Linked DNA regions of Macaca fascicularis. The protein of the gene in region 4 interacts with the protein of the main gene of each other region in a pairwise test. Links are inferred from orthologs where the notes say so. Each region holds a gene or a part of one and is shown on either strand. Other genes may lie near its edges. The genes, in order: CREB3L1, FATE1, VAPB and GPR25.

Region 1 (7,129 bases), on a different chromosome or scaffold from region 4:
TGGGAGACAGGGGAGAGGAGAGAGAACTAAGTTTAGGATAACAGGGACCCCAGAAACACACCCTGTAGCCTTGGGCCACTTACATCCTGCCACTCCCTGCGTTCCCATTTTTCCTCACCTACTAGACACCTGGCAGGGTGGGGGAGTTGCTTAAGTGAGCAGGTGTTTTCAAACTGTGGTCCTCAGACCAACAACAACCCCTGGGAATTAGTAGATGTGCTTATTCTCTGGCCCCATGCCAGGTCTACTGAATCAGAAGCTCCGGGGGTAGGGCCCAGCGCCCTGCGTTTTAATAAGTCCTCCAGGTAATTAGGTTGCACCCTCAAGTTTGAGAACCACTGGTGTAAATCCTTGTTACTCAAAGCCAGTTGCCCCGGACAGGCAACATCAGCATCGCCTGGGAGCTTGTTAGAAATGCAGGCTGGGCACAGTGGCTCACGCCTGTAATCCCAGCACTTTGGGAGGCCGAGACGGGCGGATCACGAGGTCAGGAGATCGAGTCCATCCTGGCTAACATGGTGAAACCCGTCTCTGCTAAAAAAAATACAAAAAACTAGCCGGGCGTGGTGGCGGACGCCTGTAGTCCCAGCTACTCGGGAGGCTGAGGCAGGAGAATGGCGTAAACCTCAGGAGGCGGAGCTTGCAGTGAGCTGAGATCTGGCCACTGCACTCCAGCCTGGGCAACAGAGCGAGACTCCATCTCAAAAAAAAAAAAAAAAAAAAAATGCAGACTATCAGAACTCTCTCCAGACTTACTAAGCTAAAAACTGCACATTCACAAGGTCTTGGGTGATTCACATGCACTATGAAGTTTGAGAAACAGGAGTGTAGAGACAGCAGCGCAGTGCCTGGCAGGTAGCAGCCACGTAAAGTCACAGCTCTGGGTTCTTATACTGCTTTGCCATTTTTGTGACTCTGGAGAAATCATTAAATATCTCTGGGCCCCTGTTTCTTCGTCTAAATGGGGATGATAGAAACATTATCTCCTAGGGTCGGGCACAGTGGCTCACGCCTGTAATCCCAGCACTTTGGGAGGCCAAGGCGGGCAGATCACTTGAGGCCAGGAGTTCAAGACCAGCCTGGCCAACATGGTGAAACCCCATCTCTACTAAAAATACAAAAATTAGCCAGGTGTGGTGGTGCATGGCTGTAATCCCAGCTACTCAGGAGGTTGAGGGAGGAGAATCACTGGAACCCAGGAGGCAGAGGTTACAGTGAGCTGAGATGACGCCACTGCACTCCAACCTGGGTGTCAGAGTGAGACTTCATCTCAAAAAAAAAAAAGAAAAGAAACATTACTTCATAGGATTGATGTGAGGGTATTAATGAGATCCTGCGAATAAAGGACCCAGCCTGATGCTTGGCATTTAGGAATGTGCAATTCATGTTAGCTTTTATTCTTCTTTCATTATTTTTATTTATTTATTTTCTCGAGATAGGGTATCACTCTGTTGCCCACGCTGGGGCGTAATGGGATGATCATAGCTCACTGCAGCCTCAAACTCTTGATTCTTCCCACCCCCTCAGCCTCCTAAGTAGCTAGGGCCACAGGCACACACCACCACCCCTGGCTAATTTTAAGTATTTTGTAGAGACGGGGTCTTGCTATGTTGCCCAGGCTGGTCTCCAGCTCCTGGGCTCAAGCATACCTCCTGCTTTGGCTCCCAAAGTGCTGGGATTATAGGCATGATCCACCACACCTGGTCTTCTTCTATTATTTTTATTTTTAAATTTTTATTTCTTTCTTTTTTTTTTTTTTTTGAGACAGAGGCTTGCTCTGTTGCCCAGGTTGGAGTGCAGTGGCACAATCTCGGCTCACTGCAACCTCCACCTCTGGGGTTCAGGCAATTCTCGTGCCTCAGCCTCCCAAATAGCTGGGATTACAGACATGTACCACCACGCCCGGCTAATTTTTGTATTTTTAGTAGAGACAGGGTTTCGCTATGTTGACCAGGCTGGTCTTGAACTCTTGACCTCATGTAATCCTCCTGCCTCGGCCTCCCAAAGTGCTGAAATTACAGGCGTGAGCCACCACACCCTGCCATTATTTTCATTCCAAATTCCTGATAGTACCCAGCCATGAGCCTGTGGTAGGTCTTTAATAATTATTTGCTGGGATTAATTACAATAACCTAGACAACAGCCTTGATATGCAGCAGGTGCTCAACACAAGACTTTTTCCTTCTTTCCTTCCTTCTCCCTCAGCTTCTCCAGCGGGATCCAGCCACTCCTCTGTTCCCTGATTGGCCTGGAGAATCCCACCTGACCCCCCACCCCACCCCTCTGTCTCTGGCTGGGGTTCCTTTCTGGCCCAAAGTAGGTCCAGGCCCTTGGAGCTATTTCGCCACCTGCTGTACATTGTGGGAACTGCAACCCCTATGTGCCCGGTTGGGTGGAGAGAGAGAAAACATTTTCCCACCAAGCCTGTGCCGAACGCATTCTGTGTGCACCCAGAAGATTCCACACTGAGTGGGACCTAGTCCTCACCCTCAGGGAGGCCACAGTTAGTAAAGGAGACTGACGTGGAAATCTATAAATAAACGAAGTGCCTTGATAATAAAACAAAAACTCAGCAATAAAACAAAAATGGCTGGGCACGGTGGCCCATACCTGTAATCCCAACACTTTGGGAGGCCGAAGCGGATGGATCACTGAGGTCAGGAGTTCCAGACCAGCCTGGCGAAACCCTGTCTCTACGAAAAATACAAAAATTAGCTGGGCGTGGTGGCGCACGCCTGTAGTCCCAGCTAGTCAGAAGGCTAAGCCAGGAGAATCACTTGAACCTGGGAGGCAGAGGTTGCAGTGAGTCACAATCGCACCACTGCACTCCAGCCTGGGCGACAGAGCGAGACTCTGTCTCAAAACAAAACAAAACAAAAAACCTAACAAAAACAATAGCTACCATTTACTAGACACTCACTATATACCACGCACTGTGCCAAACAGCTCTTTCTTATCAGCTCAGGATGCTGGGGGTGCCAGGGAGGGAAGGTCAATGAACCTGTGGCAGGTGTCTGTTAAGCAAAAGAAGGCTGGCCTCCGCGCAGCTGGGGGTAGACCTTCCCTCCTCCAACCCTCTTGGCCAGGAGCATCACAGGGCAGGCCTGAGCTTCCACAGGGTGACCCAACCAGTCACCATGAGGCAGGCCCCAGGTGCCAGGCCACTCTGCAGAGGAGCCACTCAGGAGGTGACCTTTCCTATCTTGGCTGAAACGGGCACCTGGCGTGGAGGCCATGTCTGGAGCCAGCCCCCTAGGAGAGCTCCAGGAGGCAGAGATGCCTGCGGGGTCAAAGCCTGCCAGCTGACTGCTGTGCCCTCCTCAGGACCCTGCTCCAGCAGCTGCAGAAACTCCAGACTCTGGTCACCAACAAGATCTCCAGACCTTACAAGATGGCCGCCACCCAGACTGGGACCTGCCTCATGGTAGGTGTGGCTCCCTCCACCACAGGCCCACAGGAGGAGAGTTCTTTCCGAGGCTGGCATTTTCCAGGGTTGGGCAGAGCTTTGAGGATCGGTAACATCGTGGGCAGTATCACCAGGGTACACCATCCTGGCGCCTGGTGGGCCGGTTCTAGCTGACCCCAGCCTCCTTCTCCGAGCCCGTGGTGCCTTTTGCCTCACACCGGTCCCCGACTGGTTAACACAGTGTAGATGTGTAGGTGACTCCCGTGGCCCCAGCTAGGGGACAACTGGGCAGGTTCCTTGAGGAGGTGGCTTCCACAGGCTTTGTGCAGGGAAGGGCTTGGGGAGACTCAGGGAAGTACGGACATGGTTCTTTCTGGAACGGATGGCAGTGAAAAGGCTGAGGAAGCCCCTGGAAACCCGGAAGGCTCCAAGGGTGTGCTTCAGACCTCTTCCAGTCGCTCTTCCATCTTCTTCTGGAAATGGCCAGCCTCTTGCTGCCTAGCTCAGCAGGCCCCGGCCCTCTAAAACCCTCGAGCTGTCAGACGGCAGAGCCAGGCTATGGGCAGGGGTAGTGTGGGCTCCCTGGCTCTCAGCACCTCCCGCTAGCCAGACTCCCCAGAAGCCGGCTGAGAACGTGACGTGCTGATGTGTCCCCCTCCCTCGTCCCGGCCCCAAGCCCCGCCTGCACCTATTCCTTCCTTTCCTGATTCCTCTACCCCATAGGGTGACTCCACATTGGCCACTTCCCTCTTACTTCTAGCACTGCCTGTGGCGACCCCTCTACAATGGGCTGGGATGGCCTGAGCGGCCCCTGCCTTCCCCAGAGAGGATGGGAGACCCCACGTGTGGGAGGAAGTGGTCAGCTGGAGGAGCTGCTTCTTTGGGAAAACGCTGAGACTTTTGTGCCTGTTGGTTTGGGAGAGGAGGAGTGGGGTGGTCAGGGCCGCAGCCCCTCCTTGCCCCAGATCTGATGCCACTGTCTCTTTGCTACCAGGTGGCAGCCTTGTGCTTTGTTCTGGTGCTGGGCTCCCTCGTGCCCTGCCTTCCCGAGTTCTCCTCCGGCTCCCAGACTGTGAAGGAAGACCCCATGGCCGCAGACAGCATCTACACGGCCAGCCAGAGTGAGTGCCCACCTGTCATGCCAGCTCCCTGGTCTGGGGCTGCCCTGCCCCAGCCCCAGTGTCCAGGCAGAAGCCAGACATAAGAGAGAAGCCAAGTGTGGGGTCGGCATTATCTCATTCTGCCTCATTTTCCAGATGGGGAAACTGAGGCCCAAAGAGAGTTTATGCTTTGCTCAGTGTTTGTGGTAGAATTGGGACTAAAATACAGAGCTCTCAATGCCCAGCCTAGCTCCCAGAGAGCTTCAGGAGTGGCTTGCAGGAGGTGGGTTTAGGGGATAACAGGAATGTTCCAGCCCTGTGCCCCATGCATTATGGTGCTAGTGCTTGTGCGGCATCTGCTAGGCACCATCAGTACCTCATGATAGGGACAGCAAGTGAGTTTCAGTTCAAAGGCCATTTCCAGTAAGGTGGTGGTAGCTGCCTGAAACACTGTGTTAAGAAGGACCCTGGGCTGGGCACGATGGCTCACGCCTGTAATCCCAGCACTTTGGGAGGCCGAGGCAGGTGGATCACCTGAGGTCAGGAGTTCGAGGCCAACCTGGCCAACATGGTGAAACCCCATCTCTACTAAAAATACAAAAATTATCTGTGCATGGTGGCGTGTGCCTGTAGCCCCGGCTACTTGAGAAGGGTGAGACAGGAGAATCGCTTGAACCTGGGAGGCAGAAGTTGCAGTGAACCAAGATCACGCCACTGCACTCTAGCCTGGGTGACAGAGTGAGACTCATCTCAAAAAAAAGAAGGACTCTGAGGCACCATTCAGAATTGACAGGAAGGAGTGTCATGGTCCATTAATAATGTCTACCGTGGACAGAGGAAGGGTAGTGGTGGTGTGGGTTCAGATATCTACCGTTTCCAAGGGGGATAGTAAAGTACAGTGGTTAGGAGCATGTGGATGTTAAGTCCGTCGTAACTGGCACTGCCACTTGCTGTGTAACCTGAAGCATGTGTCTTAATTCATTTCTTCATCTAGAAATGAAGAAATTGTCCTAAGCTTTCATTTCTTCATCTAGAAAATGGGAGTGGCAATTTTGCGCTTACTGAGCCATGGCTGTGAGACAGGGCATGAAACAGCAGTGTCTGTGCTTATGAAATGAGCACACTCAGTCTCTTTGAGCTCACGGAGGAGAGAATAGCTACATCACAGTAGCTGGCAAAAGGAGAACCAGGGGAGGGCCCAGCAAAGAAGAGTGTGGATTTCAGAGGGAGAGAATCCTTCAGGTGGACCCCCAGAGGAACTTCCTGGCTGTCCCTCATCACTTACCAGTCAGTCACTTACCAATTACCACGTGTCTGACAGGACAGGAGGAGGAAGAGGAAACAGATGGGAGGTCAGAGGAGGGAAGATTAAAGAGTGAGTTTCAAGAAGGAGGGCTATAGCAGGGAGGATGAGCTAGACATTGAGGGCCTTGAGGGGAGGAAGCTGGTGTGGGGAGGGTTAGGGAAAGAGGAAGTAGAGACAGGGAGAATGAAAGCTCCTCCCCGGACACGTGCAGGCTGAGGAGGAGAGAACAGGGTGGTCACTAAAGGTGGGTGGGCAGCAGCAATGCAAGGTCTGGAGAGCCATGTGTCTGCTTTTCCAAGGCCACAAAAGCCACTGGAGGGAAAGGAGTGGAAAGAGAGCTGGGGTTGATGGACAAAGCCACAGTGAGAGGAGGGAATGAATGAACCCCTTGGAGAGAAGGCAGTGTGGGTTTTAGGCCCAGGACCTGGGCTGGGTGGAGAGGAGGAGGACACATCCCAGCAGGCAGATGGCTTTGGAGCAGGCTGGTTTGCAGAGCTGGCGCATTGCACAGTTCCAGGGACTGCTGTTCACACATACTATGAGGTCATGGCTGCAGAGCCGGAGGGGCGGCAGATCCCAGGGCCAGGCAGACCTGGGTTCGCATCCTCCTTTCAGGGAGGACAATTTCCCTGAGTGCCTAGAACTTCAGTTGCCTCCTCTGGAAAGTGGGGCTAAAGAAACTTCATTCCTGGCCGGGCGCGGTGGCTCATGCCTGTAATCCTAGCACTTTGGGAGGCCGAGGCGGGCGGATCACGAGGTCAGGAGATCGAGACCATCCTGGCTAACACTGTGAAACCCCATCTCTACTAAAAATACAAAAAAATTAGCCGGGCATGGTGGCGGGCGCCTGTAGTCCCAGCTACTTGGGAGGCTGAGGCAGGAGAATGGCATGAACCCAGGGGGCGGAGCTTGTAGTGAGCGGAGATCGCGCCACTGCACTCCAGCCTGGGCAACAAAGCGAGACTCTGTCTCAAAAAAAAAAAAAGAAAAGAAAAGGAAAGAAACCTCATTCCCTAGAGTTTCTCTCAGATTTTAACCACTCTACTTAGGTCTATGGGCCTTAGATAATGCCTAGCAAATGGTGGGCGTCCAACAGATGTTTGTTTTCCTTCTCTGAAGGGCAAACTAGGATCTAGAATAGGGAAGAGACTTATTCAAGGTCTCACAGAAAGTAAGTGGTGGACTGGCCAGATGCGGTAGCTCATTCCAATAATCCCATCACTTTGGGAGGCCAAGGTGGGAGGATCACTTGAGGCCAGGAGTTCAAGACCAGCCTGGCCAACATGGTGAAACCCCGTCTCTACTAAAAATACAAAA
Region 2 (7,882 bases), on a different chromosome or scaffold from region 4:
CAGAGAAACGCATGCCTTGGAAATTGCCAGGGTACTCCTGGAGATGGGCATCCCCATGGCCTGATTCTCTCAGCATTCTGGGCATTGGCAGCTGGGACCCCTGAAGAAAGGAATGATCAGTAAAGTAGCCTGCCCAGCCTGTCCTCTAGTCTCAGGGACGTTGGTGGCTTGCAGGAGCCTGACTTCCTGGAGCAACTTGATTTGGCTTCTGTCTTTGGACACAAAAAGCCAACTCAATATTTGACTTATTTTTATTCCCAGGAAATCTCTAACTTGCAAGCTTTTTTTCTCATTCTTCACTGGGGCTACCCAATAAATCATTTCAGCAATCAAGTCTCCCTCCCTCTCCAACCTTATTGCCCCCCAATAACTTTCAAACTTTACTGTGGTAACAGTAAAACCACCATTTTCTAACGCTTTCCCTCATCCACCTGAATGTGGTGAAAAACATTGGCTACGCAATTATGGGATTCATGATTCCCTAAAACGGTCAGGTCTACCTCCTCTGCAAAATGGCTCAGTATCCTTTGCAACAATGTGGCCAGCATTTTTCTAGAAGATTCAACACCCACAATGAATGTAGCTTAAAGAATTGGCTACAGAACTGTGGGACTCACATGATTTCCTGGAGCAGTCAGACCTCCCTCCCTCTCCAATCTTGTTGCCTTTTCCCAGCAGCCTTTGCAACAGCATAACAACAATTTTTGTAAAACTTTCCCTTACTCACAGTGAATTTAGCTAGCTAAAATGATTGGCTACAGAACTGTGGGACTCACTTAATTCTCTAGAATAGTCAGGCTTCCCTCCCCATCCAAAATGACTGTTTTCCCAATATCATTTGCAACAGTATAGCCACTATTTATTCTAAAACATTCCTTCACCCATATCGAATGTAGCTTAAAAGGACTGGCTACAAAATGGTCAGATTCACTTTCCTGGATTTCTTTTTTCTTTCTTTCTCTTTCTTTCTCTTTCTTTCTTTCTTTCTTTCTTTCTTTCTTTCTTTCTTTCTTTCTTTCTTTCTTTCTTTCTTTCTTTCCTTTCTTTTCCTTTTCCTTCCTTCCTTCTTTTCTCTCTCTCTCTCTCTCTCTCTCTCCCCCTCTCTCTCTGTCTCTCTGTCTCTCTCTCTCTCTCTCTCTTCCTTTCTTTCTCTTGCTCTGTTGCCCAGACTGGAGTACAGTTGCATGATCTCAGCTCACTGCAACCTCTGCTTGCTAGGTTCAAGCGATTCTCATGCCTCAGCCTCCTGAGTAGCTGTGATTACAGGCATGTGCCACCATGCCCAGCTAATTTTTGTATTTTTAGTAGAGACAAGGTTTCACCATGCTGGCCAGACTGTTCTCCAACTCCTGGCCTCAAGTGATCCGTCCACCTCTTCCTGCCAGAGTGCTCAGATTACAGGCATGAGCCACCATGCCAGACGACTTGACTGGATTTCTTAACAGCCAGAAAGCGTAGGAGCCTCACCTGAGTTATTGTGTGTATACACACACACGCACCACACACACAATTTTAAATACAGGAAGCGTTATTTCACACAATGGATTTACAGAGTGAAATATTTATGTACTCCCCATGCAATATTTGTTTCAGGCATTCTGAACTCCCAAGGTTGCATCCCAAGCATAGGAAAGGATGACCCTGACCTTTCTGTCCTCATTTGCCAGCTTGGAATACAGGAGCTTCCTCCTCCTCACAAGTCAATGTCTAGCCCTGCCTGACCTGGTCAGGCTACAGCCCCTACAACCAGTACTCCCAACCCCAACCTGGCCAACATGTGCTGAGGACCCCATGCAGTACCATTTTCTTGGATCGGGTGGCAGTCATATTCCAAACTCGTTTCGCTGAAGCAGAGCCAGCAGCTTTTTGTTCCAACTTCTGCCTCTTCTGGGAGGCACCCAGGGACCGAGATCCATGCTCCATCATTTCTAGAGAGAAGAACAGAGACCCCAGGAGCACCCATAGAAGTTGTACCAGGGCTTCTTGGGCACAAAACACACCAAAAAGAAGACAGAGTCCCCAGCTTTCTTGGGAATCACTCAGCACCCATTAACCACTGTCCACCAGCTGATCCCAGGTCTCAGTTTGTTCATCTGTTCAAAAGTTAAACAAGAATCCTGAGGGCTCAGCTCGAGACTAGGTTACTCTCCAGTAATCTAGAGAGCAATGACCAAGAACAAGATTCCAGCTATCAAGGAACTGACCATCTGTTTTGTGTATAAGAGTGAATGACAGGTGTAAAACAGAAGGTCTATCCTTGCAAATGCAGACAGAGAGATGCAGGCTCCATAAATGATCAAAACAGGGTAACATAGTGGAAGGAAAGGGCTCCTTCTAGAAAAGTAGGAGACAACAATTGAGGCAGGGACCTGAAAAAAATAAAGGACCCAGCCCTGGGAAATTGAGGGAAAGAGCATTCCAGACAGAGGAAACAGCAAATGCAAGGTCTTTGGGGAAGAAGCAGGCTTGGAGCATTGTAAGAACAAACATAAATGCAATGTGATCTGGATCCCTTTGTGTGCTATAGAAATGGTATTTTCTGTCTATATCATAGTATGAAATGTTTTGAGGAGGCTGATACAATCTTATAGATCATGGAGTCTGGATTTTCCTCCAAATGGCAGGAAAATGAATTCGAGGGTTGGGAGAGAGAATTGATCTCTGGTCTCATAATTTGAGCCCTCTGAGTATTTTGCAACAGACACTGTGGTGGCTTGGACAAGGGGAAGACAGAGGGACCACACATGTTGTTCCCATCCTCCTCCCTCCCAGGGCAAAATGCTCACATCATCTATCCCTTTTCTCCTAGATCCCTTACCATCAACCCACAAATCCTCAAAGCCCGCCCAACACACAGATGTGCAAACACTTCCATGCACACATGCACCTTTCCCAACACACACATGCACAGGTACAGACATGTATCTACACAGTTGGCTGTAGCCTAGGGGTATTTTAGGGGATCCTCACCCGCTATCACCAGGTGCTCTTGGTTTTGCCCTTGGCGTCCATGATTCAATTCTTCTGTCAGGGACATTTCCATCTCTGCCTTGGTGTTGGGAGGGCCTCCTGCCATCACAACCAGCTGTTCACTTGTAAGCTATGGCTAAGGATGTACAGGGTGCCAGGAACAGAGGAGTCACACTCAGAAAATCACCTCTTCCTGGAACAGGAGCTCAAGGAAGATATAGTCAGACCTGGGGGTGGAGCAAGACTCCCTCTCTAGGCTGAGGCCTTGGACTCAGCACTTTCTGTTTCTATTGTATCTTGTTGGCTAGGTCCGTGGCCTTCTCCTTGCTACTCTGTAAGCAACTTAGGAGAAGAGATACAATTCCATGCCTTTGACTGTGAGAACTGCTCTGGCTCATGAATCTCCATATTTAGCCCATGGGGGGAAGGGTAGGGTCTACCCTCCATCATTTCTATGAAGAAACAGGGATTGGCACAGGGTCCAAGAGCCAGGCAGTGGCTACAGCAGAGTTAGGTCCTAGCAATCCAGGCCATACCACACCTTCAGAAGAGATTCTCTGGAGAGCATATCCTACCTCCCCCATCCAGAGTCCCCAGACATGGGAGGTAGCCTTTTTCTGAAGTAGGTCAGACTAGGCAGGAGCCATGAGAACAAAGGGAGAGAAGGGTAAGAGAGGTGGGACCTGACTGCAGCCACTAGAACTCCCAGGGGCCTCAGGCCTTGCACCTTCTAAGTCCCAATTCTCCCTCAGTTTCCCTACTGATTAGACCACTGTGATGGTCAGGTTTATGTGTCACCTGGCCAGGTTCTAGTCCCCAGTGACTCCTTCAAACACTAGTCTAGGTGTTGCTGTGGAGGCATTTTGTAGCTGTGGTTGGCATCTACAACCAGTGGACTTGAAGTAAAGTAGAGACACATCCTCGATGATGTGGGTTGGTCTCACACAATCAACTGAGAGGCCTGAAGAGCAAAGACTGAGGTTTCCCAAAGTAGAGGTAATTCTACCCCAGGACTGCAGTGTCAACTCTTCTTTGAGTTGCCAGCCTGCCAGGCTGCCCTGCACATTTCAGACTTGTCAGCCCCACAATTGCATAAGTCAATTTATTAAAATAAATGTATATATACTTGTGCATATGCAGATATATACATATATACATACATACATATATACATCCTATCAGTTATGTTTCTCTGGAAAACACTGATTGCTACACGACCTGTGGTGAACCCTTCATTCTAGGAAACAACCCCAGAGCCCCTGGGGGAATAGGAGGCTATTTGTGAAAGGAATCAGGACAGGTTTATAAAACGTTCCTTTTAGAAATAGCCTCTTCTTCCCCCAGAGCCCTTGGGTCAGGTGGGATAAAGAGGAGGAAGGAAGGAGGAAAAGAGGAAGGGAGGAAGGAAGGAAGGAAGGAAGGAAGGAAGGAAGGAAGGAAGGAAGGAAGGAAGGAAAAGAGGAAGGGAGGAAGGAAGGAAGGAAAGAAGGAAGGAGGAAAAGAGGAAGGAAGGAAGGAAGGAAGGAAGGAAGGAAGGAAGGAAGGAAGGAAGGAAGGAAGGAAGGAAGGAGAGGGAGTGCAAAGGAAGGGGTCAGAACTAGCTGAGATAGGGCAGCATGGTCTGAGGCTGCCTGTCCCCTGCCCCCACCTCACCTGTCCAGCGCTGGGGCCGAGCTCTTGGGAAGCAGAGCTGATATAGGCCCTGCCTGCATTCCTGGGGGCCCCAAAGAAGCCCTTCCCAGATCTAGTGGAGCAGCTGCGATGAAATTTGAGCTTTCTGGAGGGCCACCTTGGGAGCAGAGAAACTACTGAGTGTGCTCAGCTTAGTGGGATTCAGGAGCCTGGGAAGCCCAGCCAAGGTTGCCAGATTGAGCAAATGAAAATACAGATACGAAGTACATTTAAATTTCAGATAAACAACACATCTGTACTTATACTACATTTGTAGTGTAAGTATTCTCTCTTGTACACTAACCTTTGGGACATATTTACACTAAAAAAAGGATTCATGGGTTGATCTAACATTGAAATTTAGCTGCATATCCTGTATTCTATCTGACAATCTTATCTCACTATGACCTCAAGATTTTACCTCGAGCAAGTTTCTCCCTTCTTTTGGTGTCAGTCTCCACCATGGACAAGCCTCCCTACAGGGTGGCTGGATTGTGAGGAGCACTCAGAAGTCAGCAAAGCTACAGTAGTGTAGGCACTGGCTTGCCACAGGGCCTCAGGCTATGGAGGCCAGATTTCTGTCTAGTTATCAACTGACCCTGGTGGGGCTTCTTGGGCACAGGAGCACAGGGTCCAGGTGCATGTGGAGGCACTGCCCCCTGGTGGCATAAGAATCCACCACCTAAAGCCAAGCAAAGAGGGTGGGAGAATTCCTTCCCAACCCCTGAACCCCCAAGGCCACTCAGAAACCCCAACATCTCACCCCCTTAGCGTGCCTTCCCCGCTTGGATTGAGTGCCAAAGACAACTTGGAGGTGACAGAGAGTTTAATGTGCCTTTGAATTTGTCTCTTAGCATGTTAGCTAATTATAATTTCATAATTGTAATTTACACAGTAATCTCCTTTTGAAATGGCCCGAAATTCGTACTCCAACCATTCTGAAAAGCCCCCTACCCCAAAGTCTGGGTGCTAACCTCAGGGGCCCGAAGGACTAGAGCACCTGCGATACAGAGGGAGATCTTTCAAGTCTTACACGGTGCCTGGGTCCAGGAAGATGGCACAAGGCCAATTGCAGACAACAGACTGCAGAGCCCTAACACTCCAGTGGAAGGCCCTGCTCACCCAGAGGTTCGAGAGATGCTTCTTCATAGGGGAAGGAAGGGTCCAGAACATACCTGGCTTGTATGTGTGTCTATCTGCTTTCAATGTGCAGTGTTTTACATAAATGAGATCTTACAAATCTGAGATGTGTGCCATTGTGCAACTTATTTTTTCAAGTGAACCAGGTGCCTTGGGGATCTCTCCGTGTCAGAACAAATCTACCTCGTTTCTTTTCAGCCCAGCATAGCATTTCCCTACACAGCTGCCTCCCGTTGCTCCTTTATTGACTTGCTCATGGATATTTTGGGTGTCTAGAGCTTTTTTACTTTTAGAAACAATGTAGCACTGAGCGTTCCTGAACATGTCTCTCTGCACACATATGTAAATGTGTTTGCACAGTGGGTGCCTAGAAGTGGAATTGTGGGGTTCTAGGGTATGTGTGTTGATTATTTTGACCTAAAGGGACCAATATTGTCAAAGGAGCCTCCGAAGAGGCTGTACAAAGTGAGGCCTTACCTAGGAGAAGAAAGTCTGTGTTTCTTCCCAGTCTGATCAACAGAAATATTATGCACCTATTTAAAAGGCATAATGGGTGAAAAATGATATCTATCTCATTGTTGCTTTAATTTATATTGCCTTAATTCTGAATAATCTTGAGCAATTTTTCACATGTTTATTGATCTTCTGTATTTCTTTCCCATGAACTGTCTGCTGGAGGGTTTGGATCTTTATTAAAATAAGAGCTATTTTATTAACAGAAAAGAATAAGACAAAAACTCTCCCTCCTTTCAAGTTAAGTATCTCCAAAGGAAACGTATCATCTTTTTCCCTAAGGGGGATCGTGAGCCCAGAGCCTCCACTGGGGACCAAACAAATCCAGTTAATTGCATCCAAGCTTTTGCTGAAACCTAGAGGGCACCCAGCCACCCACGGAGAAGGTGTCCAACTCAGGCTGCTGCCTACCTACCTGCCCATCTGCCCTTGTGTCTGTCTGTCTTCTCTGCCTGCCCCCAGCCAGCCTGATCACCTGCCTCCAACAGTGCCTTCCAACCATTAGCTTCTTCCAGATGTTCAGTCAGCTGAGCACTCTGCTCCAGTTCCCAGCGGCTCAGGGTCGCAGCTCTGTCTGCCCCATGTTCCCACCTCCCTTGCAAGCTGCAGCAGGAGATGTCAGGAACCCAGCCCAAAGTCAGCATATCTGTGAGTGACTCAGAGTCCTGCCACTGGGATATCTTAGGCAAGTTGCTTCACCTGCTTGGATCCTCAGTTTCCCATCTTCACATGGAAATTTTAGGGAGATTTGTGGGGGCTGCCTGGGCTTCAAGGCAAACTCTAGCTGTTCTTCATCTAGAGCAGCTCAGCTCTTACCACTTTCTTATATTGGGGCTTTATGGAAGAGGTCATTCAAGCCAAATGTCTTGAAGGAAAGTAAAAAAAGCCATTGGGTGTGATGACTTCCTATCTCCCAGTCCTGCTCAGAGCCCAGTCTCAGGCAGCTACAGCCCCACACCCAAGCAAATGAGTGCACCTGGATCTTCCAGGCAGCTGAGAGCTTCCTCTTGGCTTGTTAATGAACCTTATGGACCCATAAACAATTCTCCTTCCTGCTCCTGGAAGCAGCTGGTACTGAGGTCATCCCTGGAGCCCCAAAGCCCTCCCTACACCAGAGAGGAAGGGGAAAGGGGACTAGCAGAGTCTTGCATCTCTCCCGCCTCTCCTTAAAGAGGCAGGGATGACAGACAGAAGGACACAGGGTCAAACTGCAGGGACCATAGCTGGCCCAGGGAAGGAAGGCCACCTTGTGAGCAGAGAGAGGGAAATTAAAAGTATCAGGGCCACTTAGGGCAGCCCTTAGGACCCACTTCCATGGGGACAGGGCCACGTTGATTTCCAGCTTTCTGTCTTGAATCAAGATTGACTGTGTGCTAGACACTGGGGATGGAGATGAGGTCCCTGTCCTCACAAAGTTCATGCTCTAGTGAACAGAGAATCAAATGGATAGGAAGGAAGTCCATCTGTCTGTGGGGACAATAGCAGGCAGCTGTTTATGTGGTGGCCATGCCCTTAACCCTGCTGCACTCTGCCTGTCTGGGAGTGTGGTGGGTGCTCACTAGAGCTTGGCAAACCTAAGAAGGAGGGG
Region 3 (7,129 bases), on a different chromosome or scaffold from region 4:
ACAAACTATCTTGATTTTTACCTATGGGACTTTGTTGTTTTACCAATGATGTTGTTTCATTGCATATATTTTCAGTATAGTTCCCTCCAGATTTTTACAAATAAAAGCCCGTGAAAGGCCAAGAAATCCCAAGCATGTAAAGACCTAGTATTGCAGAGGGAGAAATCTGGGATGTTTATTTTATCCTGTTTATTATTACAGATATTGCTTGTCTTTTAACAATTTAAACTTCCTTTTATGTGATTTATGTAAGTTGAAGCACCATTAAGATTGCTGTGTAACAGCAATTAATTGTGATGCAATGGATTAACCTGGGGAAATTTTTAAAAACAGTTAAATATTTACATTTACATTTGGCTTATTTTTGTAGAGTACTTTGAAGAAGAGGTCAGTGTAAGAAATACACAAATACTTAAATTTGGGATCCTCACACCCCAACTTCATAAGGGGGAGAGGAGGGAAGGAAGAGACTAGAAACTGAATTGGAAACTAGCAAGTATTCTGGATTTCATCACAGTGGAATCTTGCCAGCATCCTGGTTTGCTGCTCTCACTATACTTCAAACCATTTTAGAAAAAAAGATCTATGTATTTTTGGATGTTTTGGGGGCCATTATGAATTCTTGGCATTCTGCTCTGAAGATACTTCCATGTTTTTGAGGCAGAATCTTGTTGAAACTAGTCACTTTAAGCTTTGATTAAGCTTTGATTTAGAACGCTTTGTGGCCTGAGAGTTTCTGAATCACATTCAAACTGTCGTTGAGTACCTGTCATCCTTAGGCTTTATATTTGAAAGCTCACCCTAATTTCAGGTGTCTCTTTATGTCGTGCACATTTTTGTCCACTTTTTTCTCCCTTCCCCCAGTGTTGCGGTGCTGCTGTGCTTATGTGGAGTTCTTCTGAGTTGCAGTTTTTAGATGAGGGTCAGGGAGTGGATGTACATGGTGATTTGCTTGTGCCCTCATAGGTTTGTGTGTCCTTTATGCCTGTCTGTGTGTGTGTTTTATTGCTGCTTTGACCCTAGAAAATCAGAGCTTGCATAGCTAGTCTTTTCCCCCCTACTCTGTGAGTGCTGAAGTGATCCCTTCCTTAAGCAAGCAGAGAGACTTGGAGGACAGCTTTTTCTCCGTCTTTATTATGAGTCAGACTGCCTGTGTTGGAGAGTGGAAAAGGGTAGTCACGGAGAGTGCTGCCTCTATCATCTCCCCAGCACTGCTTCAGCACCAAGTGTCCTGTTTCTCCCTTTATGCCAAGAACTTGATGCAAGGATGGAGCAGCATCAGCATCTGGCTCTCCCTTACTGTAGCTGAAAATCCTTTTGGGCCACAGGTACCTGGCCTCCTTTGTACTCTTAGTTTTCAATGGGGAGCTGACTTAGAGTGTAGTGATAGAGTTGTTTGTGATAGAAAGGTAAGCAAATGGAGAAATTCTCATGGAGTGTTGCATCTGTGAAGATGTCACTGCTCGTGGAATGAGAATAGTGTTTGTAATAATAATTCACAAAACAATAGATGATGCAGTAGTATAGTCAGTTCTGCTGTAATGCATTCCTGGAATCACCACACTATACTGAATAGCTCAGTAAAAACCACAGGGCTTTTGAGGGAAGTGTGGTTAGGAGCACAGCACTCAAAGCCTTTGTTGGTGACGCATGCACAAAGATAGGGTGCTGGTAAAACCACAAATGCTACAGCAGATATGGCATTTTTCTTGAAAAAGACCCAAAGTTTGTCTGTGGATATGGACATCAGAAGAGTTGTTTTCTTGAAGTAAGGAGGATTACCTGAAATCATATGGAAAGTTGTAATACCAGGTGTGGATAGGTGTGGCTCATTACCCACAAGGTGAACTGAGGTATCCCGTAGGTGGTTGAGGTGTGTGTGCTTGTAAGTTTTCTGTATTTGTTTGCGGTTGGGTTCAGCAAGGAGCAGTTTTCTGTGTTCCCCTAGTGTTGATAGCAGACAAAATCACGCAGAAACAAATATGAAAATTGTTTATGCCCAGAATATCCCTCTAATATGCACATGAGTAATGTTGGATCAAATTTATGTTTTCAGAATAAGCCTCATAGCAGAACTGGCTGTCGTTTGATTTTGGGATTGAGTCCCATTTCCTTCCTTCCTTATCACCATTTTTGATTTCTTAATTTGTATTAAGGTAAGCCCATATCAGATTGATTTTTTTTTTTTTTTTCATGCCCTGAGCATCTCAAGAGTAGAGACACCAGCCTGAGATTTTAATTTTGCTGGAGATAATCCACACACGGGTGGTTTTTTTCTTGGTGAATATGTGGATTGAGACCTTTATTTCATGCAGCCACGGTGCTGGGGCTACAGAGATGGGTAAGGCATAATCCTTGTCCTTAGGAGCTTCGAGTCTCATCGAGAAGTTTTTCAGAACATACATTTGAATGACTTTGTTAGGTCAACATTACGTATTTGTTTGTGAACACACAAGCACACACCCTTTCCCCACCTTCACTTCTGATTTCCTTGCAAATATAAAGACCAGAGTAAAGAACTTGCCTAGAGGAAACACAGAAATACTTATCTACAGGTGAAAAATATGTAAATTTGAAAAGGTGTTGAAAAGGACCTCAGTTTTTGTAGCCACCTGACTAATAAACACAGAGATCACATGTCCACCATAGAGGGGTAAATGCAGAAAAGCAACTTTCAGAGTAATAGGAATAGTATTATTTCATTATTTCTTAGCCCCCATCCCTTGCACATGTGTGCATGTATATTGTTTGTGTAAACATAGATGATGTGGAAAGATCTCCCATATTGTTAATATTAGTTATCTCAGGGGACAAAGGAAAGCTTATTCCTGTTTATACATCTTTTATTGTTTGGTTTAAGAAGCATGTTTTACTTTTTTAATTAAAAAAATCTAATAAAGTAGGAAGTGAATAAATAATAGTAATAAAAAGTATCTTCAGGCCACTGAGCCTGTTTGAACCCTCCCGGTAGCCTCAGTAGTTAATACTGTCTGTAATGTTTCAGGTGTGGACTGCCCAGCAGGACTCTGAACTTCTTGCTATAGCCTAAGGTGATACAAAGTTTTCTGTGGCAACACTATAATGTTGAGAGTTTCTGTGTTTATAGACCATTAACACCTCAAAGTCTTTCTTCTATCTGCTCCTCTTGGCACACTGTGCTTTAGATAATCATTTTGGACCGAGTTTAGTCCTTTGTGCTCTCCCTGTTAGATTTCATATTGTTATTGTGGAAACCAGTATTTAGCATGGGTAAGAACTGGCCTTAGATGCAAGCCATCTGGTTACAGATCCTCACTACCACTATCATGAAAACTTGGACAAGTAACTTGTCCCCCCAAGCCTCAGTTTTCTCATTTACAAAACAGCAATTATCATAAAGTTGTGAGGGTTCAGTGAGATGCTGTATGTTAGAATACTTACACTAGGTACCTAGTGAAATAGTGGGAACATGGTAAATATTAGACGTTACTGGTAGTACATTAACCTCAGCTCATCTCTTTCATCCATTGGCATGTTAATGAGATAATTGTGGATCTCAAATCTTCCCTTAACTGTATTTATAGCTCTCCTTTCCACAAACCTTCTCAACTTTCCTCATGAGACCCCCAATCAGTCTCTGTCTCATTCTACAGGTCCCTTCACTGATGTTGTCACCACCAACCTGAAGCTTGGCAATCCGACAGACCGAAATGTGTGTTTTAAGGTGAAGACTACAGCGCCACGTAGGTACTGTGTGAGGCCCAACAGTGGAATCATTGATGCAGGGGCCTCAATTAATGTATCTGGTAAGTCCGGAGATGAGGCCTGGAGGGTGGACTCAAAAGGCCCCTGGACAGTAGATTTTCTTAAAGTTTATTTGCAGTGTAGCAAAAGAAGAAGATAGACTTCTCTCCACCCACCCCCCCATCCCACCCCACAATCCTCCACCCCACAATCCTCCACCCCCGATCAGAAAGCTGGGTCCCAGTCACCTGTTTTTCATAATTAATGCCTCCTTGTTTCAATGCTTACAGCCCCTTTGCACCTCAATAGTTAGAGCAAAACTGAAGTGATAACTTTAGACCTCACTTCAGAATGAGTTTTGTTTTCACTCCCTTGAAATTAAATCTGCCCTTTGGCAATAAATATAAAAGGGCTAAACAAACTTAATTTTACTTTGTGGGAGAAAGCTAAATGGAGTTATTTTCTTACTTAAGCTAAATGATTTCTGACATTAAGCTCATGCCATTTCCAATGATTGGCCACTGCACTTTACTGATTGTGGAACGCCAAGGGAGATGAGGGCTGAGGAAATTGGAATATACTCGAGGGTGTCAGTTTGGTGCATGTCTGATGGCTTTCCCTTCTGTCTGCGAGTGCATATATTTTCCAAAATCCAGCTTTTGAAAAGATGCTGGTAAAGTGCCCAAATTGAGAATTGGATTTCAGAGTTAAGGAGATGTCAGTGATGGGTTGGAGTTTAAATGCATTTTAGAAATGGAATAAACTTTCAGCTCATTAGAACTTCTCCAGCCAAGAAGGAGCTCTGGGGGAGTGTGTGTTTATCCTGTAAATATCAGGTGACTCACTGTCACAGAGGCTTCTGCATCAATAGAAGCTACTGCTCGTTTGAAGTGAGTACCTCTCTGGCTTTTTCCATGATAGATTTTGATTGTGATACTTTTGGCTATTCATTTGACACCTAAAAAAAAATGACTCACCTCTTCGGAAAAATATAAGGTGTTTCATTATCTGATCATTTCTGCAAACTCTTATTCCCTGCATCTGTTGGTCTCTCTCATTATGGTGTACCCATGCCAGCTCTCCCCCTGTGCTTCTCTGAGTCTGCAAGACCTGATCTGGACTCTCGAATCAGGTTATTATCTTGAAGTCAGGAGGGTGGAAGCTGGCATTGATTGAGTGACTTCTGTGTGCTGGACCTGCACATGTGCTATCTCATATCATTTCTCTTACCTGCCCTGTGAGGGATGCGTTTTTACCTCCATTTTACTAAGAAGTAGACTGGTGGTCATAGGATCATGAAGCTAGCAAGTGACAGAGCCAAGATGTGGATCATTCTGACTGGCTCTGAAGCCCATGCTCTTTGAACTGCAGCGCAGCACTCTGGAGAAAGGAAGGGACTGGGATTTTGGCATTTCCATATCCTCTGGATCCGTATGGTTTAAATTTTTCTGTTGACGTCAAGGGCAGCTGAAATCTTTTATTCCCCTGTTTTATCTACTTTCCCGCCTCGATTTCCATGCCCGTATCAAATTTGAGCAAATTTGTCAGTAGATGAAAATTACCAATTTTCACAGTAAGAACAGGGAACGCAGCATGGTTTTCTGAATAAAAGAATCTCAGTAGGTAGTTGTACAATGTTAGTGTGTTTTCTGATATAAAATATAAATATGTATGGGTGGGTGTAGGTGTATGTCTCTGTCTCTTTTTTTTTTTTTTGAGACGGAGTCTCGCTGTGTCTCCCAGGCTGGAGTGCAGTGGCGTGATCTCGGCTCACTGCAAGCTCCGCCTCCCGGGTTCACGCCATTCTCCGGCCTCAGCCTCCCAAGTAGCTGAGACTACAGGCGCTCGCCACCACGCCCGGCTAGTTTTTTGTATTTTTAGTAGAGACGGGGTTCCACCATGTTAGCCAGGATAGTCTCGATCTCCTGACCTCGTGATCCACCTGCCTCGGCCTCCCAAAGTGCTGGGATTACAGGCTTGAGCCACCGCGCCCGGCCTTTTTTTTTTTTTTTTTTTTTTAGACAGAGTCTCACTTTGTTGCCCAGGCTGGAGTGCAATGGTGCCATCTTGGCTCACTGCAACCTCCCAGATTCAAGCAATTCTCATGTCTCAGCCTCCCGAGTAGCTAGGATTACAGGTGTGTGCCACCACACCTGGTAATTTTTGTATTTTTAGCGGAGACAAGGTTTCACCATGTTGGCTAGGCTGGCCTCAAACTCCTGACCTCATGTGATCCGCCCATCTCGGCCTCCCAAAATGCTGGGATTACATGCTTGAGCTGCTGCGCCCGGCATCTCTGTCTCTCTTTCAGGAAGATCCATTGTTTCCCCATCATAGGAAGTTTTAAAAAGCAAAAGCAAACTCTGCCTTTGTTCTGATCTATGATTGCTTACACAAGGAAGACCAAGACTTTGTGGTTGTGGCCTTCCTTTGGCAGATGAAGTAAGGCATAGAGTGTGACATAGTCATCAAGGGTCACGTGGATGGTCATGGCAGCACTGCTATTTGAAGCTGGTGGCTTGGCTCCTGATCCAGTGCTCTTTCTGTCATACTAAACTGCCTCAGTAGTGTTAGAGGATGACCCCACTTATGAATGAATATAAAAAGTACCATCATTCTCAAAGTTTAATGTATTTGGGGGGAAAAGTAGTTGAATAATAAAATGTCCATGTGTCTGTAGACTTTCTTCCTAGATGAGACAAGATCATATCTGCACCTTAGAAAAGGGTTCCTTTGTTATTATTTGGTATTTATCCCAGTGCTTGAGGGGAACCAAGGTGAAGCCAGATATCATTGCATTTCTAGGACAGCCTTGCAAGTCAGCAAAGGAGACCAGCCCCATTTGCTGCAGTTGTATTGCTGAGGGACTACTGCATCATTTATTAGACGTGCATAGCTTGGGATAAAAAGCACTGCCTTTTTCCGGGAGTCCTCTTGATATTAATACAGCTACATGATGACATCTTGGTGAGTCAGTAGAGTCCTCAGGAGGAGGAGGATACCAGTGGACAGGCAGTGCAGATTATCCAAAAGCCAGCCTCCCCTTTTCCCCGGAGGTGCACATGGCCAAGCTTGGTTTTACCCACTCTCTTCAAAGATTAGTGGATTTGAGGTTAGGAAACCTGAACAGGAAGACCAGTTATGCTGTTTAACCAGCTGGCTGAATTTTGACCAACCTATTAACCTTTCTAGGTTCTTGTTTTCTCACTTGTAAGGTAGGGAGAATAGTGTCTGCCTTACAGAATGTTTACAAATACTGCAGAATCGACAGCATGGTACAAGAGTGGTACATTTGTACATTGTTCTTCTTCTAGCTTTGACAAAATCCGGCTAGTTTTTGAAGAAGGTGGATTGCATAATACTTGAATTGACTGTTTAGAAATAAATCAACCCCTACATTTTGTTT
Region 4 (7,762 bases):
GGAGCCACGTAACAGTCGCCCTGGTGGCTCCAGCAGTGCAGAGAGAGGAAGTCCTATTAGGGATGGAGGTCAGAGAAGGCTCCCAGGGGTGGGATGTGTACACAGCCTGTAAGGGTGTGTTTCTATTAGTTGACTTGTGTGTGATCCTGTGGGGAGTCCTCCTGAAGGGTGAAAGAGCAGTCTCCTGCAGTTGGCCTTGGTCACTGAAACCGGGCTGGGCACCCCGGGAGGCCAGGCCCAAGGCAGTGTCCCTGGCTCTGACCTTTGCTGCTGCTTCCCATCCAGACAAGTTCAGTAAGGCCCACGGACAGCACCCAGGCCTCAGCAGAGAAAATTCAGCATATGCTGTGGGCCACAGACTTCCCTTGGGTGTGAGATGATGGCCCAGGAAGCAAGTAGCTCTGTGTTTTTTTAAATGAACAACCTACTTCTACTTCCCTTCAACCCCCTTCCTATACTTCCCTCTTGGTCTGCTTGCCCCATTCTTTGTTTTCACCTGGCGGCTTTTCTGCTGTTCATCTCTAGCTTTCAGGATCACTCACACTCTCTGAGCCCCAGACTGACGTGCGCCCAAGGGGGTAAAGTCCAGCAATACCGGGTCTGTCTCTGATGGTCTCTGGGCTCTGGCAGGCAAGCACTGCCCCTGCTAGCCTTCTAGGGGAGGAGGCTGCAGCCCCCTACTCCACCCCGGATGTGGGCACCACTCACCAGCAACCACATGCTCAGACATTAGAAAAAAGGCTCTGGGGTGGGTCTTCAGGGGAAAACCAAGCCCAGAGGCCGAAATGCCTTTGAAGGGAAGGTCCAGACCATTCATTCCCTAGCCTCTTCTCTTCCCTGTGCATCTTGTAATTGGTGTGGGAAAAATTCTTGACAGGTGCAGCCTGAACACTGCATACCCAACTCTCTGTGAGCTCTAGGACCATTTTCTTTTGAGATGGAGACTCACTCTTTCACCCAGGTGGGAGTGCAGTGGCTTGGATCTCAGCTCACTGCAACCTCTGCCTCCCGGGTTCAAGCGATTCTCCCACCTCAGCCTCCTGAGTAGCTGGGACTGGTGTGTGCCACCATGCCTGGCTAATTTTTGTAGTTTTAGTAGAGACGGGGTTTCACCATGATGGCCAGGCTGGTCTCGATCTCCTGACCACAAGTGATCTCCCCGCCTTGGCCTCCCAAATTGCTGGGATTACAGATGTGAGCCACTGCGCCCGGCCTCTAAGACCATTTTCCAAATCCTTCCTGGGGATCTCCGTGTGCTAGAGGGACCCCAAGTGAGGGTGACCTTATGTCCCAGTTTGCCCAAAATAGTCCTGGTTTATGGCCCAGGTTAATTCTCATAGTGCCCCTTTCACTCTCAGAAACATCCTGATTTAGATGATAAATTATTTCATGACTACCTCAAACCAACATCAAACTGAACACATACGCACATGCGCCTCACTGTTCTTGGCAGTTAAGGGGACAGTGTCCATATGGTCCCTAAGCGGAGAAACCCCAGGCTTATCTTTGACTCTTCTTTGTGAGACCTATGATGCTACAATTACCTCCTGAATACATCCTCTCCTTTCTGTTCCCACTGCTCATGATCTATTTCAGACACAAATAATTACAACCTACGGTGGGGTCTCCCTGGCTTGAGTCTCTCCCTTCTCCACAGTTCTGCCAGTGATCTTTTCAAAACACAGATTAATGCCTCCTGACTCCCCATGACCTATAGATTGAAATCCAAATCCCTTCATGATTCCTCCTGCTTCATCTCCTGTCCCCACTTTCCTACCCTAGGCTCTGGGAGACTGCTTGTCCCCTGAAAAGCCCACATTCCTACTCATTTCAGTATACTTGTTCCCTTCACTCCCTCCTCCGAGTCTGACCCTTTCTTCTCTTTTCTGCTGCTCTTATTTGACTTTCAGCTCATTCCTGGGACTGATCTCAAGTGTCATCTCCTAGAAGGCCTTTTCTGATTTAGCTTTCCCGTCAAAAATAATCACTCCCCCTCCACTAAACCCTAAGAGGGCTTGGCTTTTAACATTTACTACAATTTGGACTCCCGGCATGTCGGCCATTGCACATTCTGCTTATGTAACCATCTCTCCTGCCTATGCAATAAACTGCTAAGGCCAAGAATGGCATCTCTCGCAGTGCCTGAAACAGTGCCTGCTTCATGGAGGAGTTCATTGTTAACAAGTCTGAATCGAACAAAATTGATAATCCACCTCAAATTTTCCACACCAGGTTGCCCGGCACATCAGCCACTCATTCCTGGGGACACTGGGGACAGACTCAGAGGGCACTGTGACATCAGTTCCACCACAATATCTTGTGGAAGGGATATCTGCTAAGAAGAATTCAGATGTAATTGGCTGCATGCCTCCTTCAGGAGGAAGAGCAAGCATTCCCTCCCCCATCCTCTCCTCCTAAGGGCCCACCGCCCACTCAGGGTCAGACTTCATTCCCCCTCTTCTTTAGGTATCCTCCCCTTACTCTCAGTTTCTCATTTCACAAAGGATCTTGCTGCCTCCAAGCTCCTGACTCATAATTTAGGACAACTAATCTGGTGTTTCATTAGGTGTCATCTTTTGAACTGAGCTTACATCTGCGTCTGGCTTAATAGATAGCTTTTTTAGGCTGGGAGAAGACAGGGAAGAGGCAGATGTGAATCCCAGGCTTGGCCCCTGTCCAGCAGGATGATCTGACTACACCCCTTCCTAGATGCCTTAAAACCCTTCCACTCCGCTTCATGAGGACCTGTTTGGGTCAGAGAAGCCACTCACAGGGTGAAGACACAAACCCCACATTTCAGGATGCTAACAACGGTTTGAGTGCCCAGGGCGGGCTCCCCGACCCACCCAGATCTGCTGTGTCCCGGCAGTGGACTCTTTCCTAGGGAACAGGTGGATTTGGGGGGGGGGGGGCGTGCCTTAGGCCCCATACTCATAAAATCCCCTGTCTTCTCCCCTCTAAAACAGAGAAAACAGCAGCCGGTGGGTGCAGGTGGGAAGGGGTGAGGTGGAGGCTGAGAAGAGATTAGGGCTCTCTGGCACCCACCACCTCTTGCAACACGACCCTGAGGCAGTGGGGCAAGTATCCCGATTTCACGAACAAAGAAACTGAGCAACTAATAGAGGAATGGGCCACGCTCCTACTGGGAGGCGGGGCAGGTCTCCCAGCCCTGAGGACTTTTCCTCCCAAGACTTAGTTGTGAAGCCCCTTTTGCCTATTACCCCTCGGGTCAGCCCCAAATCGGAGGCCACCATCTCTCCCACAGGAGCCTGCCCCTCCCACCCCATCCCCTCCTCCCTCCTGTCTTTCCTGCCCACCCATTTGCTCGAGCTGGGGTGGCAGGAAGGGAGGTGCACGACACGGGCATGAAGAGCAAACCCCCTCCTGCTCAGAGCTGCTGCCGCCTGAGCCCAGGGCTGCACCCAGCGCAGGCCTCGTGGCCAGGCCATGGACCCCACAGAGCCCTGGAGTCCCAGCCCGGGGTCAGGGGCCTGGGACTACTCGGGATTGGACGACCTGGAGGAGCTGGAGCTGTGTCCGGCCGGGGACCTGCCCTACGGCTATGTCTACATACCTGCACTCTACCTGGCGGCCTTCGCCATGGGCCTGCTGGGCAACGCCTTCGTGGTGTGGCTGCTGGCCAGGCGGCGCGGCCCACGGCGGCTAGTGGACACCTTCGTGCTGCACTTGGCGGCCGCTGACCTGGGCTTAGTGCTCACACTGCCGCTGTGGGCCGCGGCGGCGGCGCTAGACGGCCGCTGGCCGTTCGGCGAGGGCCTCTGCAAGCTCAGCAGCTTCGCGCTGGCGGGCACGCGCTGCGCGGGCGCACTGCTGCTGGCTGGCATGAGCATGGACCGCTACCTGGCCGTGGTGAAGCTGCTCGAGGCGCGGCCCTTGCGCACCCCGCGCTGCGCGCTGGCCTCGTGCTGCGGCGTCTGGGCCGTGGCGCTGCTGGCTGGCCTGCCCTCCCTGGTCTACCGGGGGCTGCAACCCCTGCCTGGGGGCCACGGCAGCCAGTGCGGGGAGGAGCCCTCCCACACCTTCCAGGGCCTCAGCTTGCTGCTGCTGCTGCTGACCTTCGTGTTGCCCCTGGTCGTCACCCTCTTCTGCTACTGCCGCATCTCGCGCCGCCTGCGCCGGCCGCCGCACGTGGGTCGGGTCCGGAGGAACTCGCTGCGCATCATCTTCGCCATCGAGAGCACGTTCGTGGGCTCCTGGCTGCCCTTCAGCGCCCTGCGGGCCGTCTTCCACCTGGCGCGTCTGGGGGCCCTGCCACTGCCGTGCCCCCTGCTGCTGGCGCTGCGCTGGGGCCTCACCATCGCCACCTGCCTGGCCTTCGTCAACAGCTGCGCCAACCCGCTCATCTACCTCCTGCTGGACCGCTCATTCCGAGCCCGGGCGCTGGACGCGGCCTGCGGGCGCACCGGCCGCCTGGCGCGAAGGATCAGCTCGGCCTCCTCGCTCTCCAGGGACGACAGTTCCGTGTTCCGTTGCCGGGCCCAGGCCGCGAACACTGCCTCGGCCCCCTGGTAGCTGCCCCGGGCCGCTGGAGGTGGGCGACAGCGGAGCACCGAGAGGAGGGGAGAAGTCCCGGGAGGGGACCCAGATGCGCCTGTTCTGGCGGCAGCAAGCTGCTCCGGCCGGCATCGCATTGCCTCGCGCGCTGCCTGGACTCCCAGGGTCTCCTCCATCAGCTTCCCCGGAACCTCAGAGCAATTGAACTCCCCTAAACCAGGCTCCTGAGACTAGCTGTTCCCTGTCAGCCTGCAGGGTACAAGATAAGTGCTATGAGATGGAGCAGACAGCAACTCGGAGACCCGCAGATTCACCAAGAAGACAGAAGGGAAGGGGATTTCCTTCTCTGCCTCATTGGGAAGAGCACTGACCAGAAATCGAACCCAGACCCCTAAATGCCATTCTGGTTTCTGGCTGTGCTTTCTCCCGTCTCCCACAATAGCTTTTGCTTTCAGAGAAATACCTTCTCCAAGTCAGGCCCTCTGCCCTTCTCACTCACAAAACCCTGGTGTTGAATCTGGTGACACTTCTCCCCCTACGAAGCGGTAGGACTCACCTGGAAGTTGTTCTGGTCTTTCCCTCTCAACAGAAGGTCCTGAAATCGCTCACCAGGCGTTTCTTAAGGTCTCCACCACTCAGCCAGGAACCTCAAAATCTTCTCTGTGAATTCATCTTTCTCAATAAACAGACACTCCTGCTAGCCCTGTCTTCACAGTCGTCTTTGCTTGCGCAGTGGGAGTGAAATGCGTATCAGGAGGCGGGTCGCACACTGGGTGAGACAAAACTCAACACAGTAGTTGAGGTTGATCTCAGGATGATGAGGATTTGGGGTGGTGTCTGGGAGCTGAATGCTGGCTGCACTCTGCAGGTGCAGTAATCCCATAGGAGGAAGCAAATCATTTATTCTTATTATTTTTAAGGACATTTCACATTTTGAAAGCTACAGAAAGAAAATATATTTATATAAGGGCATCTGCCAGCCGGGTGTCACTTCTGAGAGAAGATGTGTCATTTTGGATTTTCAAATATATACCAGGCCTTTTTTTTTTTTTTCTATCTTTTTTCAGACCTTCCATGAACTTTTTTCAGACCAGTATGAACTGTGGGGATTAGCCATTTTCTGACTCTGTCATTTCTCCTTTGAGGTTTCTGTAGGGTTTGGAAATTCACTGTTTATACTTTTGATTTAAGAGGATTTGGCCTAAAGACATTTCAGTCAGTGTACATCCTAGCCAGATCCCCACAGGCCAGTCTGGATGTTGCAAGCTCTGGGGGAAAGGGTGGGTGTGCACGCGGATAAGCACCTCAGTGCTAGGTTGGGTCTGAAGCCTGGCATTCTGTCGCAGGCTATCCATCCCATCCCCCCATCAAATACCCCTGTATTCTCTTCAGCATTTGGAGCTGCTGGATTAGAGCAGATTGAACATCGGGTCTCCTAGATCAGCCTGCCAAAAAGTGCATTTCTGCATGTTCCTCCCATATACTCCAAGAGAGGCAAGCCTTGCAGCCTGTGAGGTCACCTCTGCCAGCAGGACACATTTCAGGCACTTTGGTGTTTGAGAGCTCGGTTAAGTCTTGGCACTTCTTATCCTCACTATTGCTCTCTGAGGCAAGAAATTATTTTTTCATGGGGCTGAGACCCCAGAATTTTCAGGGCAGGGAAGCTGACTCTGATCTGGGTTTGTGTGTAACAAGATCTCAGAATAGAGGAGGCACTTTTCCAGGCTATTGGGACTGAGTCCCCACCTCCACCCCTGCCAGGTTGCTGCTTCTGACTTACTGACTAGCTGAGTTCCCTGAAAACAGACGGGAAGAAAGAAGGTTTCTCCATGCCCTGGTGGGTTTTTGGCTCCCCTCTTGCAGTAGCTATTGAAACTCAACATTCCCCCTGCTGTGGAACTCTGTGCGGGAGAGAGAGTTTCGCCCTTTGTTTGAATAGATCACGGAATTGATCTACCATGTGTCCTTTGGAAATGTTCCCTTCAATACAGACAAAAATGAAAGAGGATCAGTGAGCTCCCATCTCCCACTGGGGAAGATGAGGCTCAGATTCAGCAAGGAACTGGTTAAACGAGCATTCCCGCATATGTGGCTGGTGGGAGTAGATTCCTTTAGAAAGCAATTGTCAATCTTTATCAAGAGCTTTAGAACTTTTCACATCCTATTTCTTTAAAATGTTTATACCCTTCGACCCTGTAGTTTTGCTTCTGCCATTCTCTTCTAATGCAACAGTACTAAATCTAAATTTTAACGTTTCTGCACTGATTTATAGAAGTTTTTTTGTTTTGTTTTTGTTTGTTGTTTTTTTGAGACAGGGTCTTGCTCTATCACCCAGGCTGGAGTGCAGTGGCGCTATCTCAGCTCACCGCAACCTCTACCTCCTGGGTTCAAGCGATTCTCCTGTCTCAGTCTCCCAAGTTGCTGGGAATACAGGCATGCACCACCACACCCAGCTAATTTTTTGTATTTTTAGTAGAGATGGGGTTTCATCGCATTAGCCAGAATGGTCTTGATCTCCTGACCTCATGATCCGCCCGCCTTGGCCTCCCAAAGTTCTAGGACTCCAGGCGTGAGTCACTGCACCCGGTGGCTGAGTTATAGAAGTTTTTAAAGAGTTAAACCTCAAAAGAAACCACTTTAAATGTCCAACAATAGTGTAATGTCTTTATTAAGATGAATGACTATTATGCAAATTTAAGATGTTCTTTAAAGAGAGATTGAAAAATGCTGACGATAACTTAAAAGGGAAAAAAAGGTAAAACTGTATCTGTTAAACGCCTCCACACACTTCAAGTCTGGAGGATGTAAAATGGTTAGCACTGGTTTTGTTAAGTAAAACAACATGCTTCATAGTCCTTCTGACAAAAAATGATCTTTTGCTCTTTTATTTCTCATAGCTCAAGTTTTGAACATTATATCTCTTTTCTCTAGGTGCTAACGGAATGCTGTCGATTTATTTCTTTGCTTCTTGCTTGTCTCTCCTGTCAGAATGCGAGCTCCATGCATGCAGACAGTTTTGTCTGTTGGTTCAAGGCTGTGTTCCCAGTGCCTGGAACATGCCTGCACATCTCAGGCACTCACTAACTACCTATTGAATGAATGATCATCAGGACCATGTCATGATATGAAATAATGTCATAGAATGTGAAATGTAAAAGGAAGGCTATTGCATTTTATGTATAACAGCTATGTTTTATTAAAGGACTTGCAAAAAAGGCTAGGAAGAAATACAATAATCATTAAGGAT

The links.
Region 1: the proteins of GPR25 (region 4) and CREB3L1 interact in binary tests that used the Homo sapiens proteins (3 or more experiments, as listed by UniProt). The two-hybrid records come from large-scale screens. The link is inferred for Macaca fascicularis from reciprocal best matches to the Homo sapiens genes GPR25 and CREB3L1.
Region 2: the proteins of GPR25 (region 4) and FATE1 interact in binary tests that used the Homo sapiens proteins (3 or more experiments, as listed by UniProt). The two-hybrid records come from large-scale screens. The link is inferred for Macaca fascicularis from reciprocal best matches to the Homo sapiens genes GPR25 and FATE1.
Region 3: the proteins of GPR25 (region 4) and VAPB interact in binary tests that used the Homo sapiens proteins (3 or more experiments, as listed by UniProt). The two-hybrid records come from large-scale screens. The link is inferred for Macaca fascicularis from reciprocal best matches to the Homo sapiens genes GPR25 and VAPB.

Annotation. Positions count from the first base shown.
Region 1 is NC_088388.1:19,538,504-19,545,632, reverse strand, and holds part of CREB3L1 (cyclic AMP-responsive element-binding protein 3-like protein 1), read left to right. Parts: intron 1-3,324; coding exon 3,325-3,424; intron 3,425-4,400; coding exon 4,401-4,527; intron 4,528-7,129.
Region 2 is NC_088395.1:157,776,316-157,784,197, reverse strand, and holds the start of FATE1 (fetal and adult testis-expressed transcript protein), read right to left. Parts: upstream 4,047-7,882; 5' UTR 3,077-4,046; coding exon 2,971-3,076; intron 1,929-2,970; coding exon 1,801-1,928; intron 1-1,800. UniProt on the Homo sapiens protein: Involved in the regulation of endoplasmic reticulum (ER)-mitochondria coupling. Negatively regulates the ER-mitochondria distance and Ca(2+) transfer from ER to mitochondria possibly implicating it in the regulation of apoptosis.
Region 3 is NC_088384.1:114,482,977-114,490,105, forward strand, and holds part of VAPB (vesicle-associated membrane protein-associated protein B/C), read left to right. Parts: intron 1-3,632; coding exon 3,633-3,785; intron 3,786-7,129. UniProt on the Homo sapiens protein: Endoplasmic reticulum (ER)-anchored protein that mediates the formation of contact sites between the ER and endosomes via interaction with FFAT motif-containing proteins such as STARD3 or WDR44.
Region 4 is NC_088375.1:58,607,579-58,615,340, forward strand, and holds GPR25 (probable G-protein coupled receptor 25), read left to right. Parts: upstream 1-3,390; 5' UTR 3,391-3,447; coding exon 3,448-4,533; 3' UTR 4,534-7,384; downstream 7,385-7,762. UniProt on the Homo sapiens protein: Orphan receptor.